Caenorhabditis elegans: one gene and its partners. The protein of the gene in region 2 purifies or fractionates together with the protein of the main gene of each other region. This does not show direct contact. Each region holds a gene or a part of one and is shown on either strand. Other genes may lie near its edges. The genes, in order: exc-15, pud-1.2 and lap-1.

Region 1 (3,759 bases), 2.2 Mb from region 2:
GATATTCTCAACAATTCTGTCCGGACTGACACTCTTCGGAATCGTCGAAATACCGTGTTGAGTCAGGTGGCGAATGAGAATCTGTGCAGCAGTTTTGTGATACTTGGCAGCCAGTTGTTTGACGATTGGCTCGAGAAGTGGGTCACCTTCCGGCCAGACACCGTCCGGACGAGCAGCTTTTCTGCCTGGTGAGCCAAGTGGTGCGTATGCTGTAACAGTGACTCCGAGTTTTTTGCACAGAGCACGGAGCTCTTGTTGTGGCCAATAGATGTGACACTCGACTTGTTGGTTGGCTGGCTTCACTTCGGCGGCGTCATAGAGCGCTTGAAGCTGGTTGCAACTGAAGTTGGATACTCCAAGGGCCTGAAAATTATATTTTTGGAGAAAGAACACTACGTGTAACTTGAACATGGATAGTTAACAAAATATTGGCAACTAATTTTTCTACATTCTGCTGAAATTTTATAAGTATATGTATTCCAAAAAACGTTACAGCAGCTGACACCCGGTGGGTCTAATTTTGACTACATTTTTTGAATAAACCACTGGAAATTTTCAAGAAAAAATTTAATAAGAACATTTTTAATACAAACTTTTCATCACATGGACGGCAAACGATTTTTCGGGCAAACTGCCTGTTTAAAAATTTCCGCCAAATCGGCAAACTGACAAATTGCTTACCGAATTTGCCGGAAAAAAGGCCAATAATTTTCGAAAAATTGTGGTTTTGCACTTTTTTTTTTGGAAATTTCAGAATTTCAATTTTAATCGGCAAAATTGTACGCATCCTATGAATGTTTCTACATCTGTTTTGAAAAATAAGCAAATCCTTTGAAAATGTTTAATGAAAACGGGAAAAAATTTCAAAAAGACACAGTGTTAAGTGCTTCCGTCTTATAAAAAATTCCCTCTAAACACTTCCGGCAAATTTATATAATGGCGAACGGCGAATCAGCGAATTGCCGAAAATGAAAACTTCCGGCAAACCGTCAAACCGGCAATTTGCCGTTTTGCCGAACTTGTCGACAAAAAAATTTGCCGAATGGCATTGCCGCCCACCCCTGATTCAATTACTTTATGGAAATCGAAATTGCTGATGTTCCTTCAAGACCAAATCTCACAAACCTTAAGCTTTCCCTCCTTGTACAACTTCTCCAACGCTCTCCATGTATCAATATGAGCGATTTCTGTAACAGCAAGCTCTCCATTCTCCATCAATGGAGCAAAGCTTCCCTCCTGATGTTTGAATGGGAATGGGCAATGGATCAAATACAGGTCAATATACTCAAGTTGAAGCGCCTTCAATTGGCTTTCCACACATTTTGGAACATCTTCCGGGGCGTGAGCGGTAAATGGAAGTTTAGAGGTGACGAAGATGTCCTCGCGTTTCAGTTTTCCAGATGAGATGTACTCATGGAGCACTTTTCCAATAATGTGCTCGTTTTGGTAGAGGTGAGCAGTGTCTGAATATTGAAAAAATGGGATTTTCAGTTGTCAAAACGTTGTCAAAACTGCCCTCCAAGGATCAACTTTGCCAATGGTTTTATTCGAAAACTCGAAAAACTGGACACCGTAAAAAATCTCAACATTTGTGTCAAAAAGTAGAAAAATACCTAGAATTTGAATGGGAAAATCTGAAGTTAAAGGTGTGAGTAAAGTTTGTCGGTTTTTTGAAAATGGGTCGTAGTTACCGAATGTAAAAAATGTTGGAAAAAAATTTCAAAATTTTTAATGTTTTTTTTCAATTGTGCAAAAAATTTAATTAACTGGTTTGAGCAAGCCACCACTTTTTTTTTGAGTTTTCCGTTTTTGGCCAAAAATAACATTTTTTAAATCGGTTTTTATTTTCCAATTATTTTTTTGTGACATCTCAAATGGAAGAAGAAAAGAAAACATGACTAAAAAAAAATTATGGTTTCCATCTAGGACAGCACTCACCAATAAGTCTGTATCCAGCATCAAGAGCTGCACGAAGAGCCACAGTCAGCTCAGCTTCATCCTTCACCTGCCACGTTCCCAATCCGAAAAGTGGAAGCTGAGCTCCGGTATTCAATGGAATAGAGTCTACGGTCATTCTGCAAATACTCAAAATGAATATGACCGAAAAGCAGAAAACTGATAAATGTAAAAGGAGAAGCTACGTTTAAACCAATAGATGACAAAATGATAAACAAAATAAATGATAAGAGGTATTTTGTGACCATCGGCAAGAAATAGAGACGAGAGATGAACAAACGGTTTTCGCTCAGTCACAAAAAATGAATGCCGGAAAAATAGAAAAAAGATGAAAAGACCGTAACGGAAAATGTTCAATGATGCGGAGGCCAATTTTCACTTTTTTTTCATGCAAATTCCAAAAACATGACAATTGTTTTTGTTTGTGGCAATGTGAGAACTGAGACTATTGACAGAAATTTGAAATACATGCAGATAGATGTTCATGTGATGAAACAGTAGTAGGAAGTGGACGACGTTGAAATGAAGGACGCCTAGATAAGAGGGGAAAAGTGTTGTCAGATGACCGAAAAGTGGGTGAGTTCGAAAATCATTATTTGATCGTTTGAAGTAATGAAAAAACAACAAAAGACACAAATTAAAAATTTTTAAAAGGTGAAGTAGCGTAATATCGTGCCAAAATTAGGAAATATCATAGTAAAAATTTTCAAAAATTGTTTTAAAAAGTTATATTTACAGTCAAAAAAAAAAAAATAGAAATGCCGGAAAGGCCTTCTGAAAATAAAAAGTTTATTGTTGAAAAATCTAAAAGAAACTTTAAATAGGGCCTTAAAATTGTTGTTTTGTGCAAAAATTACTTTGAATTTTTCACAGCAAACTGAAATTTTCAACGACCGTTTGAGGTATTTTTTAAACTTTCAAATAAAAATGAATAAAAATTTCAGATTGAACAAACAATTTTCTACATTTTTTTTAAATATTTGATTTGAAAAAGTTATACTTTCGTACTGAAATGAACAGTTCTGTACGTTTGCCAATTCTTTGAAAAACCGATTTTTTATAGAGTGCAATTTTTATGTGACAGCCTGGTTGTTGAAATCTTAACTATTATCAATTTGCTATACCGTTCAAAAATTATTTTGAAGTGGACGCTGGCTTCTGCAGAAAAGTTGATTTCTCATTGAATATGTAAAATGATATTGAAACCTGAAACGTGCAAAAATTTTGAGATTAAAAAAAACAATCCCATCCAGAACATAAACTGTAAAAATCTGACAAAAAAAATTCCAAAAACCGGTTGCCGAAAATAAAATGGAAAAAATAGAGAAAAATAACATATGTACAGTATAAATTATTAAATTTCCATTGATTAACGGCCAAGCAACTAAAAGTGTCTAACTAGCCTCTACTGAAAATTAAAAATAAAAATTTGAGGTAAGTACACGATTTCTTAAAATTCCTAAACTTGGGTTCAGCATTTTCCAGTTTTTGAAACAAAACTTGATAGCGTGGTTCTTCGATTTCACAGATTACGAATCTACAATATTAAAGAACATTTCGGGATTAATTTTCAATCTATCACGCATATTTGATCTACGAGAGGCTGATCTACCGGGTTCGATAGCTATCTTCCGAAAGCAGATCACTCGAGAAGGGCATAATTCAGTGTGTATTTGAGATGTCAGGTTCCTCGTGCTGCATCTTTTTTGATGTTTTTTGTAATGTTTTTAATGTTCTATGCAATTATGAAAAATTTGGATTTTTAGAAAATTCTAAAACTTTTTTTTAAAAACGATTATATAA
Region 2 (3,154 bases):
GCTCGATTGAATCAAGTTTGAGACTGATCTGAATACCTGACCTGATTTTGTATTTTTATAAAAATATTTTTCAGCCAAATTAATAGACAATTTTCACTGACAACATTCGTTCAGTAATTTGAAAATATTTAGCCATTCGAAAATATGCACCTGGGTCGGGATAGCTCAGTCGGTTGTGGTGGCCGTTCGCAACCTGGGAGTCACGAGTGCAAGTCCTAGTTCCCATTTGCGCTGTCGTATATTTGTTATATTTGTAAAAAGAAATTGGACATAGTGGAAAGATAGAAAAGTGTATAAAAGGTTGAAACGGTAGATTTCCTAATACAGAAAAAGCTAAAATTCTACAATTACTGTTGATGACAATTATCTAGCTTCAATCAAAAATTAGCTTTGCTTGGAAATAGTTTTGAGAATGAATTTTATTTCAAAAAAAAAAGCTTAAGAAAAGTACTCCTACGAAGAATATCGCTGCTCAAACAGAAACTCAAAGTAACTACAAATAAAACATGAAATCAATATTTAGTGAAAGTGGTAGTCGATTCCCCACTTGGAGAGATGAAGTGAATTTCGGTTGGGAAAACACGGATCGTGGTAGTTTTTCCGTCATCTTCAGCTGTTAGCATATGCTGCTTCCATGATCTCGAGTCACTGATGAATTTCGCATGCTCTATGTAGGATTTCTTTCCGATTTGGTGACCTTTGTTATCCACTTCTGAAATTTCAAGTTCTTTATTCTCAAAAGATAAAACTCCACAAACCAGTTCTCTCCTGAACCATCGTACCATCCACTAGCCAATTGTCAACTCCAGTTGTCAAGAATCCAGTGTTATAGGCGACACTTTTGAAGATTTCCTTGACTTCATCAGGCTGGAACATCACAACATCAGACTTATCCGCATCCCATCCAGTGTATTTATGTGTCACTTGAAACTTGAAGTGACTTCCAGTCTGATTATCAATTGAAACCTTTGCAGTGCGTCTCGTGAGTTGTGGTGGAGTTGGATCAGTCGACATGATCAGTTTTCAGTCAAGAAACGATCTGAATTATCAGTTGATACGGTAACCATTTTAAACTAAACGAGGAGGTGGAGTTATTGATAAGGAATGCAAGTGATCTTCTCTCTTTGACTATTTTTGTGGTTTGATTGTTTGTGAAATTGATAAAGAACATGAAATTGAACAGTTTGCCTGTTAGTTTCATGTAGCATGAACTATGATCATGAAAATTGATCATAAAGTTGTGCTTTCTTTTGGTACACCTTTGGTTTCTTGACGTCAAAACCGCAGACACGTTGCTTGAAAATGACAAAGAACACAAAGTAATGACAGATAAGCATAGACCAAAGGTTTTATATCAGTATTGAAACATTATCTATTGACAAGTAATGTGCTTAACTCCACCCACTTGAACTGCTTTTTAAAGTCAGTTGGAAATACACGAAATCAATCGAAACTCAAGTGAGTCGATTCTCTTCAACGTTTCAAGAAATGGCAAGCGACGAACCATCAGGTGTGACAGAACAATGGGCCAAAGTGGATATTGAGAACAAAAGTGACCATGTGTTCAAGTTCCAAGTGCTTCATCAGTATACCGGCAATGCATTGGAAGCTTCAAAATGGGTGAAATTGGAGCCAAACCAAAGTGCCCAAATTCTGGAGAAAGTTCACTACAACACTGGACCATTTACAACTGGTACTGATAATTGGAAGGTTCATGGAATCAAACAGATTGAGACAAACTGTAAGTTAACTTATATTTTGATAGTTTTGAAGGAATTAATTTACAGTAGACGATAAGAATGGAGTGGTTGATGGAAAGGTTCGTATTCTCGGTGAAGCTTGGCGTAGTGGACATCCAGATGGGGCTGATTGGAAAAAACACACTTTGAGAGTAGAAGACCATGCCCAAACTACAGTAATCAAGGTTCTCGAGAAAGAAGTTCAATTTGTATCCAAGAGTGGAACATCGACTACTGACTTCTATAGACATGATGTTTAAATTTTCAGTCAATAATTCTTATCAATAGATTTTCTTTAAAAGTTTCAATAAATTTATTGTAATTTATCTAATATAATTTTTCATGCGTACCAATCAAACTTGAATTCTAAACCCTGAGCTCAAAAACAGTCCACTAGAAGTGATTTACACTTTCTGAAGTTTTCTGAGCGGGCCCTATAAAATAAAATACATTTTTGAAGAACATCATATCGAATCAGGAATTCTATTCCTTACCAGAGTGCCTACCGGTGCCTACACCTAATACGTAGTAGAGACATTAACCGTGTGAGACGTTTTACATTATGTACGCAAGTAAGTAATACAAATATGATTTTTAAAAAACGTATTGCGTTTGGAAATATATCGGCCTATTTGTGCTCAGAGACAACTTAATGTATTGAGGCAGATTGTTATGTATTGAGGCAGAACGAGGAGGCGAAGACGAGTAGTTTATTATTACATTAAACTAAGGAATAAATAAGCTAGTTCATAGAGTTCACGTTGTACGATCTTTTTAGCCACGTCGTGGGTCAATACACGTTGATACCCAACAATTTTGGTGTTACTGTAGGTGACTTCTTTGGTAAATAAAACTTCTCTGTTAAATCCTGTTACTCACTTTTTTGATCTTCACATACCCCGGTCTAATTGAACTCGAGTCACTTTATTTTCACTTCGTTTCTTCTAATCCCTTCCCCCCGCCCATTTCTCATACTCGAGTTGAAATCTTTCAGGGTTTGTCTCGGTTTATAAGTTTATTTTAAAACTAAAAAAGGTTTCTGATTCAATATAACCTTTGAATAGACATCACACTCCGTTCTGACTGAATACCAACTAATTCTGCCATGTATTCCATATCAGCAAACCAAAAGAGGCGGAACCGGCATATTGCTGACAAACAATTTTATGATCTTTCTCCTTCTCATTCTTCTTATCAGTACTTTGTGGTTTGGTTCAATGTGTTGCGATTTGAAAATACAAAGAATTCGTTATCAGTGTTTATAACTCTATCACCAATAAAATATGAAGTTGGCAACTTTAGGTTAAAGTCCACAAGAAATTACAATAATCCATTACAAATCTATTCACCATTATAACTCGATAATTATTCACTGCTTCTGTGGGTTTTGGGAGAATGGGAGGATGTTTTCTCCA
Region 3 (3,759 bases), on a different chromosome or scaffold from region 2:
AGTATTGTTGATTTCGACGGTCTTTCCACTCAACATTTTGATAATATCATCAGGCTTGCTGGAAATTAAATCATAAAGTAAAATTGAATTGAAGTTAAATATACTTTGCAATTGGGCTGACATTATTCTCAACAATACAGAGACAAGCATGGAGAGTTTGTGAAAAACCGTGTTTGACAAGAGCAGAGTAAGCTTCAAGCATTCCAGCGGCACCTCCCATATCTCTTTTCATATCTGAAAAAATCCATTTTCATAAATAATAATTGAAGTTTTTCATACTTGGCATTCCAGTCTTGGTCTTAATTTGCAAGCCTCCAGTGTCGTATACAACTCCTTTTCCGACAAGTGCAATGTGCTCCGTCGATCCAGGAACCTCATGGGACAAGACAACAAACGCAGGTGGTGTTGGACCAGCTTTTCCGACGTGATAGATTCCGCCAAATCCAGCCTTCAACAGTTCTTCCCCACGGATCACTGTTATTTTTGATCCAGTCGCATTTCCAACTTTGACTGCTTCATCAACAAGAGCATCAGTAGTCAGGATATTGGCTGGAGTATCGATGAGTCTTGCGGTTTCACGGACCGATTCTGAGAGATCAGTAAGGAAAACTGCATCCTCGTTGGTGAGCTGCAAAGAAATTGAATGTTTGTTTTTCAATTAAAACAAAACAATTAATTCGGATTTTGAGATTGAGATCTTGAAGGACACATAACTTTCTTATCAACGGAAGTTCATGAAGACCGCCGAATTTTGCAGAAGCTATCAAATGATTCTACTAGTTCCTCTTTTTTAATTTCGTCACACTACGCAATAAACTCTTATCGTATTTCTACATTATCAGCACACAATTCCAGAAAAGAATAGTCTCCAGGCTGACTTTGCAAATAGAAGCAAGCACATGGTGTCTGCTGTCTATCAGTGATGATAAAACTATACAGATCAATATATCAAAATGAAGGATAGTTGTCACATACCTTGTCGCAAACCACATCGATATTCACATTCAGTTCACGAATTCCTGAAGTTTTCATCGAGAACTTGCAGAAGGTCCGAGCAATAGCCGCAACGTGAGAAAGAACATCTGGATATTCAGCAAACAGCACAAAATGAACATTCTTTGTATCCTCAGGATAGTTGATTGGTTTTAACTCCTTATATATCGAATGAGCATTAGTGGGGGTATTTCCACGTGAAGAGGCATCTGGGACAGTGATCAAATGAGCCAGCTCGTAGTGAAGAGGATGACGTCCTGAGGCGGGGATTCGAGAAATCATAGAGTTCCATGAGTCGCCATCTGAAATTATTTTTATATTATGGAAAAGTATGAACCATCTGCAGATGCAAAATGTTGTTCTCTTTACACCAACCATACGGTACCAGGTCTCGACAAGAGACATTTTTGTAAACTACAGGGAGGTGTGGGTCTTTTAGAGTACTGTAATTTCAAAATCTCATTTATTCTGAATGGTTCATGATTTTCCATACATACCTGTGCGGCATTTGGTTTCGGCATTTGAACAAAATGCACTTTTTCATAAATATGAAAATACGTCATACGGCATACGGCATACGGCATTCGCCATACGGCATTTGGGTGCATATCTCGAGCAGGGGTAAACTTTTTTTGAAATTTTTTTGACTGGTGACAAGCCTAAGAGTCAGGCTTCTCATCGTATGCTATTTCATACATATACGTATTTTCATATTTATGAAAAAGTGCATTTTGTTCAAATGCCGAAACCAAATGCCGCACGGGTATGTTTCCATAGTCTCTTCCGCGCTTTGTTAAAATGTATGTGTTTTTATTTAATATATGTTTAATATTTAGTATGTATATAGATATCTCTAGATATATATGAATTTTTTTAAACGAAAGTGACCATGTACCGTAATTTTGGACAAAAATCAAAAAACATCGCGTTTGTGTAATCTACCAAAACCGAACCTGTAACAAACTTTTGTGCGACTTCTTTGAATTTTCCTTCGAAAGTCACATTTTTCAAGACACTCTTCTTTCCAACAATGATTAGGCTAGTCAGGCCATCTCCAACAGCTTGAATCCCGTTACGAACGAGGACTTGTGTCATTTTTAGGTGACACTAATCACTGAAATTAGAAACTTTGAAAACCTTTTGAATTAAAAAAAAACAAAGTTGGAAAGTATAAACTATAGTATTCAGACTAAAAAAGGCAAACTCTTTTTAGAAAAAAGGTGTAAAAATTATTACTCAAATAAACCGTTTATCAGTTCCTCCAGCAGGTAGAGAAAGAGTGACCAGAGAAACATAAATGCGAGAAAAGGATGATAAAAAATGGCGAGAGAAAATGTAGAGCAAAAAAATGAGAAATTGAGAGAAGGAACAAATCTTCAGGGCGCGTGTTTGCATACATTCGTGGTCTAAAATTTGAGAGGTTGTGAAATAATGAGGAGCGAAATTTAAAATTTTAATTAAGTTCAAATCAACTCCTATATTAAAGTTGCCTAGGCATAAATAAATTGATAACCCTCACAATCCCGTAGAGTAAAAAAACATGCTACTTCGAATATCTAATTGATTAGTGAGCTTCTAAAATTAATAAATAACTTTCGGTACAGAAAAATTCTAGCCAACTAATTGCAAAACACAATGAAAATGTTAGAAACTATGATGAAGCATGCAATATAGACTGGAATATGACATGAAAAAGAATTGAACATAATTAAACGGGGGCCAATGTCGCTTTCAACATCCGTACTTCTTCCAAAGAAGTGACACGTGATGGCTGATTGTCCTGTTTTCCCATTGACACCTTATTCAATGGAGCATTTTTCTTGGCAACAGAAGCTGAAGCATGATACCAGTGACATTTAGTCCATTCGACAAGATTCGCGACATTCGAACTGTTCACACCACAACCTGCGAGAACATCGATCTTTCCTTTGTGAAGTTCTTGCATTTCTCGAATGATATAAACTCCGTCGAGTGCTGACGGCTCTTGTCCACTTGTCAAAACAGCTTTGAATCCAACATCAATAGCGTCCTCAAGACAAGTTTTCCAGTCATAGGCGACGTCAATTGCTCGATGAAATGTGACAGGATGTGGACGGGCAGTTTCAATTATTGATTGACATGATGTACGATCCAATGAACCGGCTCTGAAAATTGAAATTTTTTGTGGATCATCCAGAGCAATCAACCGTTATAATTACAAAACTTCTTTCGTAATTTTGCCGCATGTCTATGCATTTTAAATGTTTTTTAAAAACAAGCTTTCCGCATTGTTCAAAAATTAAGTCAGCCTAAAAATAATTATTTAAATGTTATGTAAAATTTTTATTGATAAACTTGATTGAGAATTTATTTGCGGAAAATGGTGAAAAATTCGAAATGAAACAAGAATATGTTTTTCTTTTTTCATTTAAACATGTTGGAAATAAAATTATAATATATTTATTTGTTTCATTCAATTTAAAACTCTCCGACTTACGATGTTAATGCTCCAAAAACGAATCCTGTGGCACCAGCTTTTTTGAGCCATTCAACGTCTTCCATATTCGCTGCCATTTCGTCTTCATTATACACAAAATCGCCTGCCCGTTGGCGAATCATACAATAAAGTGGAATATCGGGATACTTGTAGCTCAGAATAGACACAAATCCGACGGATGGAGTGAGCCCTCCGAGTTGTAAAGCTGAGCAAACTTCCAATCGATCAGCTCCACCGGCAACAGCATTTTCCGCAGATTCCAGATTATCGATGCATATTTCCAGTTTTAT

What was found.
Region 1: the proteins of pud-1.2 (region 2) and exc-15 fractionate together in Caenorhabditis elegans (co-fractionation; one large-scale study listed by BioGRID). This does not show direct contact.
Region 3: the proteins of pud-1.2 (region 2) and lap-1 fractionate together in Caenorhabditis elegans (co-fractionation; one large-scale study listed by BioGRID). This does not show direct contact.

What each region holds. Positions count from the first base shown.
Region 1 is NC_003283.11:4,481,820-4,485,578, reverse strand, and holds the start of exc-15 (NADP-dependent oxidoreductase domain-containing protein), read right to left. Parts: upstream 2,121-3,759; 5' UTR 2,075-2,120; coding exon 1,939-2,074; intron 1,464-1,938; coding exon 1,126-1,463; intron 364-1,125; coding exon 1-363.
Region 2 is NC_003283.11:2,321,526-2,324,679, forward strand, and holds pud-1.2 (Up-regulated in Daf-2 domain-containing protein), read right to left. Parts: upstream 1,042-3,154; 5' UTR 1,015-1,041; coding exon 759-1,014; intron 713-758; coding exon 513-712; downstream 1-512. Other genes in the region: pud-2.2 (Up-regulated in Daf-2 domain-containing protein), read left to right, coding at 1,489-1,741, 1,788-1,999; pud-3 (Up-regulated in Daf-2 domain-containing protein), read right to left, coding at 3,109-3,154.
Region 3 is NC_003281.10:8,399,822-8,403,580, forward strand, and holds the start of lap-1 (Leucine aminopeptidase 1), read right to left. Parts: upstream 2,108-3,759; 5' UTR 2,089-2,107; coding exon 1,947-2,088; intron 1,296-1,946; coding exon 976-1,295; intron 629-975; coding exon 280-628; intron 235-279; coding exon 105-234; intron 59-104; coding exon 1-58. Other genes in the region: cutc-1 (Copper homeostasis protein cutC homolog), read right to left, coding at 2,702-3,137, 3,470-3,759. UniProt on the Caenorhabditis elegans protein: Probably acts as a digestive enzyme.